2 linked regions of the Schizosaccharomyces pombe genome follow. The protein of the gene in region 1 binds, or shares a complex with, the protein of each later gene. Each region holds a gene or a part of one and is shown on either strand. Other genes may lie near its edges. The genes, in order: qcr8 and qcr1. A codon is read from its position in the direction of its gene.

What was found.
Region 2: the proteins of qcr8 (region 1) and qcr1 are in contact, whole or in part, in a cryo-EM structure (PDB 8Q1B), measured with the Schizosaccharomyces pombe proteins. Residues at the interface, in NP_594714.1 of Schizosaccharomyces pombe: Trp13 (codon at 1,245), Trp14 (codon at 1,242), Gly15 (codon at 1,239), His16 (codon at 1,236), Leu17 (codon at 1,233), Pro20 (codon at 1,179), Lys21 (codon at 1,176), Gln22 (codon at 1,173), Lys23 (codon at 1,170), Gly24 (codon at 1,167), Ile25 (codon at 1,164), Ile26 (codon at 1,161), Thr27 (codon at 1,158), Tyr28 (codon at 1,155), Ser29 (codon at 1,152), Leu30 (codon at 1,149), Ser31 (codon at 1,146), Pro32 (codon at 1,143), Phe33 (codon at 1,140), Gln34 (codon at 1,137); in NP_595827.1 of Schizosaccharomyces pombe: Gln168 (codon at 2,106), Arg246 (codon at 1,872), Phe247 (codon at 1,869), Val248 (codon at 1,866), Gly249 (codon at 1,863), Ser250 (codon at 1,860), Glu251 (codon at 1,857), Ile252 (codon at 1,854), Arg253 (codon at 1,851), Ala254 (codon at 1,848), Arg255 (codon at 1,845), Asp256 (codon at 1,842), Asp257 (codon at 1,839), Asp258 (codon at 1,836), Gly341 (codon at 1,587), Asp430 (codon at 1,320), Glu440 (codon at 1,290), Gly441 (codon at 1,287), Leu443 (codon at 1,281), Tyr445 (codon at 1,275), Asn446 (codon at 1,272), Arg449 (codon at 1,263).

What each region holds. Positions count from the first base shown.
Region 1 is NC_003424.3:4,765,170-4,768,579, reverse strand, and holds qcr8 (ubiquinol-cytochrome-c reductase complex subunit 7), read right to left. Parts: upstream 1,525-3,410; 5' UTR 1,471-1,524; coding exon 1,439-1,470; intron 1,250-1,438; coding exon 1,232-1,249; intron 1,187-1,231; coding exon 973-1,186; intron 870-972; coding exon 855-869; 3' UTR 674-854; downstream 1-673. Other genes in the region: exonuclease Rex3, read left to right, coding at 1-673; prohibitin Phb1, read left to right, coding at 1,766-2,614; ypa2 (serine/threonine-protein phosphatase 2A activator 2), read right to left, coding at 3,073-3,410.
Region 2 is NC_003423.3:2,032,237-2,036,766, forward strand, and holds qcr1 (MPP complex beta subunit Qcr1), read right to left. Parts: upstream 2,664-4,530; 5' UTR 2,608-2,663; coding exon 1,234-2,607; 3' UTR 606-1,233; downstream 1-605. Other genes in the region: TIM22 inner membrane protein import complex and succinate dehydrogenase (SDH) anchor subunit Tim18, read left to right, coding at 3,864-4,343. UniProt on the Schizosaccharomyces pombe protein: Catalytic subunit of the essential mitochondrial processing protease (MPP), which cleaves the mitochondrial sequence off newly imported precursors proteins. Preferentially, cleaves after an arginine at position P2.

The sequences.
Region 1 (3,410 bases):
GGGAAAACTGTTTCGTGAAAAGCAAGGGGGGGAGAAGATTCGTACATACACTTGCTGTGGTGTAAAAGAGGGCGATTCGTCTGGTTGTATTATAGAAGACAACCATGTGTTCAAATACCGACATCTTCCGTATCTTGCTAGCGTTCATCCATTTTCCTACTTACCAGACAGTACAAATAGCAAGCAATTAAGTCATTGCGCGTTAGATTGTGAACTATGCTACACTACGAACGGGATGGAATTGGCTCGTTTGACGGTGGTAGCAAAGGAAAGCATTATTATGGATGTGTTTATAAAGCCTAAAGGCAAAATTTTGAGTCTCAATACTCGATTTAGCGGGATACATGATGCCAAAGAATTAGAATCAGGAATTACCATGGATCAAATGTATATTAAAATAAAGGAACTTGGCATGAATAAAAATACAATTTTAATAGGACATGGTTTAGAAAACGATTTGAATGCGATGAGGCTTATTCACAAACGTGTCATAGATACTGCTCTTCTATTTACGCATGCCAGAGGCCCGCCGTTTAGATATTCCTTAAAATATTTGACTAAAAAATATCTGGGAACAACAATACAAACTTCTACACACGATAGCGAAGAAGACGCTGTTTCAGCATTACAACTTGTCTTTTATAAGACAAAATCAAATGAAAGTCAAAACTAAGAGTAATAATGTTTTCAAATTCAAGAGATAGATCATATCACAAAGTAATTTTGTTGGATATATAGATTTCTGATACTAAGCATAATGAGAGGAGAGAGATAGTAATTGTAAACCCAATAAGGAAAGGGTAGGGAAGAATTTTGTAAATCCTTCTACCAAAATGAATACTTCATTCTCATCATTATTCCTCCACCAACTAAACCACATATTAGTAAAATGACAATTATTGACACAATTTAGAAGTATAGAAAAATGCTGCAAACCATAGCTGCTTATCGATTCTTCAGTCATTAACTTACGTGTCTTCCATGTTTGGAATTGAGGAATTCATTACGCTCCTTCCCCCAACAGTAAATATAGTAAGCTATTCCAAACGGAATTGCTACGTATAGACCTTCAGTCATGACGCGACGAAACATATTTTGCGTAGAAGTTTTGAAGAAGCCGGCCATTGGTCTCTGTTGAAATGGGGAAAGGGAATATGTTATGATTCCTTTTTGTTTAGGTCCACCTCTTATTAAAGTAAGTAAAAATGTATCAAATTGTTATAGCACTTACAGATGGCCCCACCATCCTCTATTCATGTGTTAGTATAAATAAAAACGTTCAATGATATTCTCAGCAGCTATTTGAATGTATATAACTTCGCTGACGAAAATGGCTTTACGAAATAAACACCAATTGTGTCCACCGTCTCACGCTATAAGCGTCAAAGAAAAGTCATATAACCCATTATAAACAGAAACTGCTTTAAGTTGCACTTACAAATAAGTTTTTCCTCCAGCAGCACCACCCATTTTGTTAAAACAATAATATATTGATGATTGCCGTTACAAAGTCAGATGTTTGTTAAGGGTAAGTGTGCGGGTCTGCTAGACCAATAATAATTCAGACGTTTACAAATTCTTGGTTTTTTATTCAAGATTTTTATTTAGTTTTACTATTAAAATTCTAAATAATAAGATCATGTATTTATTAATCATGAATATAGATTTTCCTAGAGGTTGCAGTTAAGTCATACTTAGTCTTGCTCAAACGGACTTCCCTTTCAGTTTGGTCTTTTAGTCCAGCGCTCAACGTACTATTAAAGAGATGGCTGTAGTACTGGAGAGAGTTGCACGTTATGCAATACCAATAGGTATTGGATTTACTCTATTACAATCTTCGATTTACGATGTACCGGGGGGAAAAAGAGCAGTTTTGTTTGACCGTCTGTCGGGTGTGCAGAAACAGGTTGTTCAGGAGGGCACACACTTTTTGATTCCATGGTTACAAAAGGCAATTGTTTATGATGTACGCACACGTCCACGAAATATCGCAACTACTACGGGTAGTAAAGATTTACAGATGGTTTCTTTAACATTGCGTGTATTACACCGTCCCGAAGTTGGAATGCTTCCTCAAATTTACCAAAATTTAGGCTTAGATTATGATGAGCGTGTCTTACCTTCTATTGGAAACGAAATTTTAAAATCCGTAGTTGCTCAGTTTGATGCAGCAGAGCTCATTACTCAAAGAGAAGTAGTTTCTGCCAAAATTCGCCAAGAACTAGTTCAACGAGCTACCGAATTTGGAATTCGGTTGGAAGATGTATCCATTACTCATATGACTTTTGGAAAAGAATTTACGAAAGCCGTAGAGAGAAAACAAATTGCTCAACAAGAAGCCGAGCGTGCTAGATTTTTAGTAGAACAATCCGAACAAGAGCGACAAGCTAATGTTATTCGCGCTGAGGGTGAAGCAGAAGCGGCTGATATTGTTTCCAAAGCACTTGATAAAGCCGGTGGCGCTTTAATCCAAATTCGTCGTCTCGAGACAAGTAAAGAGGTGGCTACTGCACTTGCTAATAAAGGTGCACAGGTCACTTATCTTCCCTTTGGAGCTGGTTCTAATGCCCAAAGTTCCAGTGGTTCTGGGTTGCTTCTTAATGTAAATCCTTAATTCATTCCATGTATCTGCTTCTAGCAGCAAATTCATAAGGTTTATTCGAGCTCCCCTAAACATATCAGCTTTATCTTATTATCCCTTTAAAATTAAAGAGATGTTATATAAAAGTTGTACTTTTCCACGCATTATGATTTTGACAAATTTGGGTTCTTAACGAAAATAAATATTTCCAAATTTTTTTATTTCAGAACTCAAAATTATGATTTGTCACCTTATTTTTAAAACGACAATTATTTTGGGTTTTGTGCTGATGAAATGGCTATATTAATGCTGCTAAAATTAGGGTTGATTGTTTATGTAGAGTTTTTTTAGCATAATGAAATAAACAAATATGCTGTACTGTTGGTAATTTTATTGACTTTAGATATTACTTTTAAAGTAAACAGACAAATATGGGTATCGCATAAATTCGTGAAGATTCGTTAAAAACGCCTTTTTTCCCTCGAGAATTTTTAATCAAACGGAATCCTACTTCCATTATTTTTGGCAGCAGAGATCGCACTTGGTATCTTGATGCCACAACAGTCAGCATAATGAGAATGAACATGTGTCACCTCAGAATCATCACCGTCTTGGGGAGCAGGAGACATCCCAGGTGAAGCTGGGATTAAATGGCCAAAAAGATAGTGCTGCATTATAGGAAGTTTACCCAAAACTTCTGCTCTATACATTTTTATCATGCCTTCGTTGACTTTAGACCAAGTCTTTACGGCAGAAATATCGTCAATCATTGGAGAATGGAAACGTAGTGAAACAGAAGGCTTCAACTTATTTAAAAAGTAAACATAAC
Region 2 (4,530 bases), on another chromosome or scaffold:
ATATTTTTGTGTAAATATATTTTGTATATACACAGTTAAACGAGTACTACCAGTTATTTTATTATTGTGCTCATTGAAAATTCTTTCAAAAATCATGTTGAAGCTTTTAACAAAATTTAAAATACCTCTTATCTTTTCTTACACTATATATCTTGTTAAATTTTTTGACAAACGTCTACGGCCATACCTAGGCGAAAACACCAGTTCCCGTCCGATCACTGCAGTTAAGCGTCTGAGGGCCTCGTTAGTACTATGGTTGGAGACAACATGGGAATCCGGGGTGCTGTAGGCTTTTTGCCATATATGTTTTGGTTTCCACTATCGTGCGAACGATTTCAATAAACAAACATTCGTGTTTTTTTCGCTTATGCAAATGGAAAATGTTCATACCAATTTTTAACTCCATAAAAGCCGATATTCCTTACAGAAGATTAACCCGATAAACCCTCGCAGTGATTGAATGAATTGAACGGAATGCTCGACGATTATTCGCAAAAATCTATTTTTATAAAATAAAACTACATAACTACATTATCAAGTCGACTTACTACTACATGAATTTTAACGCAAGTTGCTAATTACGAGCAAGCGCCCAAGAAAAAAGGTACAAAAAAGGAAGAATGAATTCAGATTAACTCTGTAACATTCAAAGTTATGTCGATAAATTTTACAACACGAACGAATCCGTTTCATTTGTAAACATGGGTAGGTTAGTAAGCGGTTTCCGCTAAATCAGCGATAAAGTGAATAGTTGCTAGAAAGAAAGCAAGAAAGTAAAAGAGATTTTCAAGAGACTGCTAAATGAGAAGGGAGATAGAAAAATAAGATGACAAGGAATATCACGGGAGGATAAATTGCAAGCAAAAATGAATGCAAAGGCAGTATAAGAAGTGTCCGAGCAATACACCTTGACAGATAATAAATGAGAGAAAAGTTTAACTCTGAAGAAAGGGGGTTTTCAAAGGTGATGCAGTAAGCAACCGACTTTGCACTATAAACAACTCTGGTATGCTCTCATCTACTGAAATGATATTACTTGTGTGCAAACAGCTTCATATCCAACCGGTGATAGTACTGATCAACACGTAAACAACGTATATTGGTGAATTCAGCTCATATATCTGAAGAGAGCGAAGAGGCAGACGAAATCATAAAGGCGTTAACAAACAATAGCAAAGGATGAGCCTTAAGATTAAATAATAGACAATAGTCAAAAGTCCCAAGAAAATGCGTTTACCAACGGTTCATAGAAATACTGCTACGAATACGGTTGTAGTCCAACAAACCCTCAATGGAACCAACAGCAGAAACAGCAATGTCCTTGTCCCAAATCATCTCGGAAGCAACGCGGGCTACATCTTTTTCAGTGATTTGACCGATACGGAGATCAACCTCTTGAGGGCTCATACGACGACCAGTTGTAAGCAATTGGCGACCAATGTCCTCTGCAATGGCGGTCGTTGAATCCAAAGAAAGTAAAAGCGAAGCACGGAGTTGTGCCTTGGCACGTTCAACCTCAGCACGAGTTGCAACGGTTAAACGAGCCCAGTTTTGGAGGGTAAAGTGGACGAGATCATCAATACGGCCAAGGTTCTCAGTGACAAGATAAATACCCCAAAGTCCAGTATCACTATAACTAGTACTGAAACTCATGAAGCTATTGGCAAGTTGATGTTGTTGAACAATAGTACTAAGACGAGAAGACAAATGGGGAGATGCTCCCATAGCACGGTCCCAGTTACCAATGATGGCTTGCATGACTAATGCAGTAAAGTAATCTGGGTGTTTCCAACTCATACCTTCAACAGCAATGGCAATGTTGGCAGTTGGTGAATCATCGTCACGAGCACGGATTTCAGACCCGACGAAACGAGGTTTGAGTCCACGAGGAGCACCAAGCGACAATTGCTCAGCTGAAGGCTCCAAATGGCCAAAATATTTTTCGGCGAGCTTTACAAGCTCCTCATGAGATATCGAACCGGCAGAAGAGATAATCATTCTATCACTACGGTAGTTGTCCTTAATATACTGGAGAAGGTCCTCACGGGTAAGAGATTCGATGTTTTCCTTAGGACCCAAAATTGTACGTCCAAGAGGATGACCCTGATAAGCGGTAGCATGTAAATGATCAAAGACTACTTCATCGGCCATTTTGTCAACCTCTTCTTGCTCTCTTAAGATGACTTGGCGTTCACGCTCAACCGCCGAGGCAGAAATGCTTGAATTTGTCAGGATATCGGCCAAAACGGCAACTGCATTAGGTACAGCGTTTTTGAACGCATGTGCATAATAAACGGTTTGTTCACGAGAGGTGTATGCGTTCAAATGTGCACCAGTATTTTCAAATTCCAATTCCAATGCTTTTTGGGAGCGATTTTTCGTTCCTTTGAACGCCAAATGTTCCAAAAAGTGAGCAGCGCCATTATTTTTTGCCGTCTCAGCTCTTGAGCCAGCATCAACGCCCACAAGGACGGTCGCTGTTTGGGCATACGGATGATGTTCCGTAGCAACTGTAAGCCCATTTTTTAAAGTAGTGGTTTCTGTTTTTGGTAAAGCAGTAGTCGCAAAACGACGTACTAGCTTTGGCAAATTCTGAAGCCTCAGCATAGTAATATCAATTCAAGCTCCTTTGGTTGGGTGGGATTCTGTGGATGGTAAAGGGTAAGTAGGTAGCAAGAAGGTATTCCGTAGAGGTGTAGCGTAATACGTGTTATCGAGGTCCCAAGTTCGAATTTCGGCAAATGACCAATTGATCCCATTTAATAAAAAAAGAAAACTAGCAATCCTTGAATCCCTTACTAGAATTTCCATGTAGAGAAAAATAAGAAGTTGACCATTCAAACAGAAACTTTCGGATTGCCTAGTCTTTGCCCTGTGCGCAATTTGCTATAAAGGAAGGAAACGAATGACCGTACAATCCAGTTCATGATATAATATATCTCTACTTAACATGGAGAATCTCATTGGTAAAAAACTATGTAGGGGATATATTGTTTCATCGGTATATTGAAAAGAATCTATATGACATTGAATCAGACAGGGTAAGACACTTCATCAGGTTAAGTTCGTATTCATCTACATTAAAAGGTTATTTATACTTAACGAAATTCTCTTTTCCATGATTTCCATTACAATATTTCGGTTAATACATTTTTAAAAAAATAACAGTCCAACTATAGAATTTTGACTAGCACCGAATCAAGCATTGTTATACATCGACTATTGAGTAGCTTGATGGTTTCTTTTTATGAGAATAGTTTTTTATATAAATGATATTAATTTAAATAAAATTTTCATCCTCTTAAAACCGTTTCTCTAACCTTTTTTTAAGCCAATGCAGCACCTTTATATTAGCATAATTGCTACAAGTAAATTTCTATAGCTTTATCTATATTATATTATTAAGTAAAAAGATTTACAGTAGATTATTGTTTTTTCACAATGTAGTGCTTTCCGTAAAATTTTTTTTGAAACTGCAGTAACTTTTGGTACTGTGTAATATTATAATAGATATTCAAACTCACCACAAAACCCATGTAATATTATATGTAGAAGGTAATTCGTTTTCAGCAGTGAATAATATTATTATAAAAAGTAATAACCAGGTTTTGAAACGACCTTAAAGACCGGAGATTCTTCTGAATAAACTTATTAATCTATTATATCTATTTAAATTTCTAGTCTTTACTCTATGTTATACAATTTTTCGTTTATGAGTAGATAGATTTAGGTTCTCATCGCCTATTTCCGGCCACTCCAAGCTCAACACATCGAGCTGTTGAATGGCCAATAATGTGGACACAAGATCCGCCAATACGAACTCACCTACTACCACCACCAGCTTTTCTTGGTTTACAAACAATATGTTACAAACACGTTTAGGACTTGGAGCACTTCGTCAAGGACGTCTTCTTTTTGCAGTTAAATCTTTTAGCACAACCAGTGTTGCGAAAATTTTCCCTCCTCCCCCTCAGACCATTAAGGGAACTGTTAATGATGCTGCTGTTTTCCCTCACCACAGTAAGCTCCACGGAAGCTATCATTGGGACTTTGAAAGAATTATTGCTATTGCCATGGTTCCTCAAGTCATGATCCCTTTGTTCACCGGAACTTCTCATCCCTTAATGGACGCTGCATTGGCTTGCACCTTGATTACGCATGCCCACTTGGGGTTTGAATCTTGTGTGATTGACTACTTCCCTGCAAGAAGATTTAAGAAGTTATCTCCTTTGATGCACTGGATCTTACGTGGATGTACTGTTCTTACACTTATTGGCGTCTATGAGTTCAACACGAATGATATTGGCCTTACGGAGGGTATTAAAAAGCTTTGGAAATCTTAAGCTTCTTTCCATGCAAACCCATATAACCCCACTTATTTTTTCATAATGATTATTCCTTTCCTTTTTCTTTTTTATTCTCCTTAATCCGTCATCTAGTAAGTTTTGGGCTTGAAACTTACCAGTTCAAACCCCAAAACTGCCAATTGATATTCTGCAGTTGATCTTTGCTCTTTTCTTGATTTCTGGC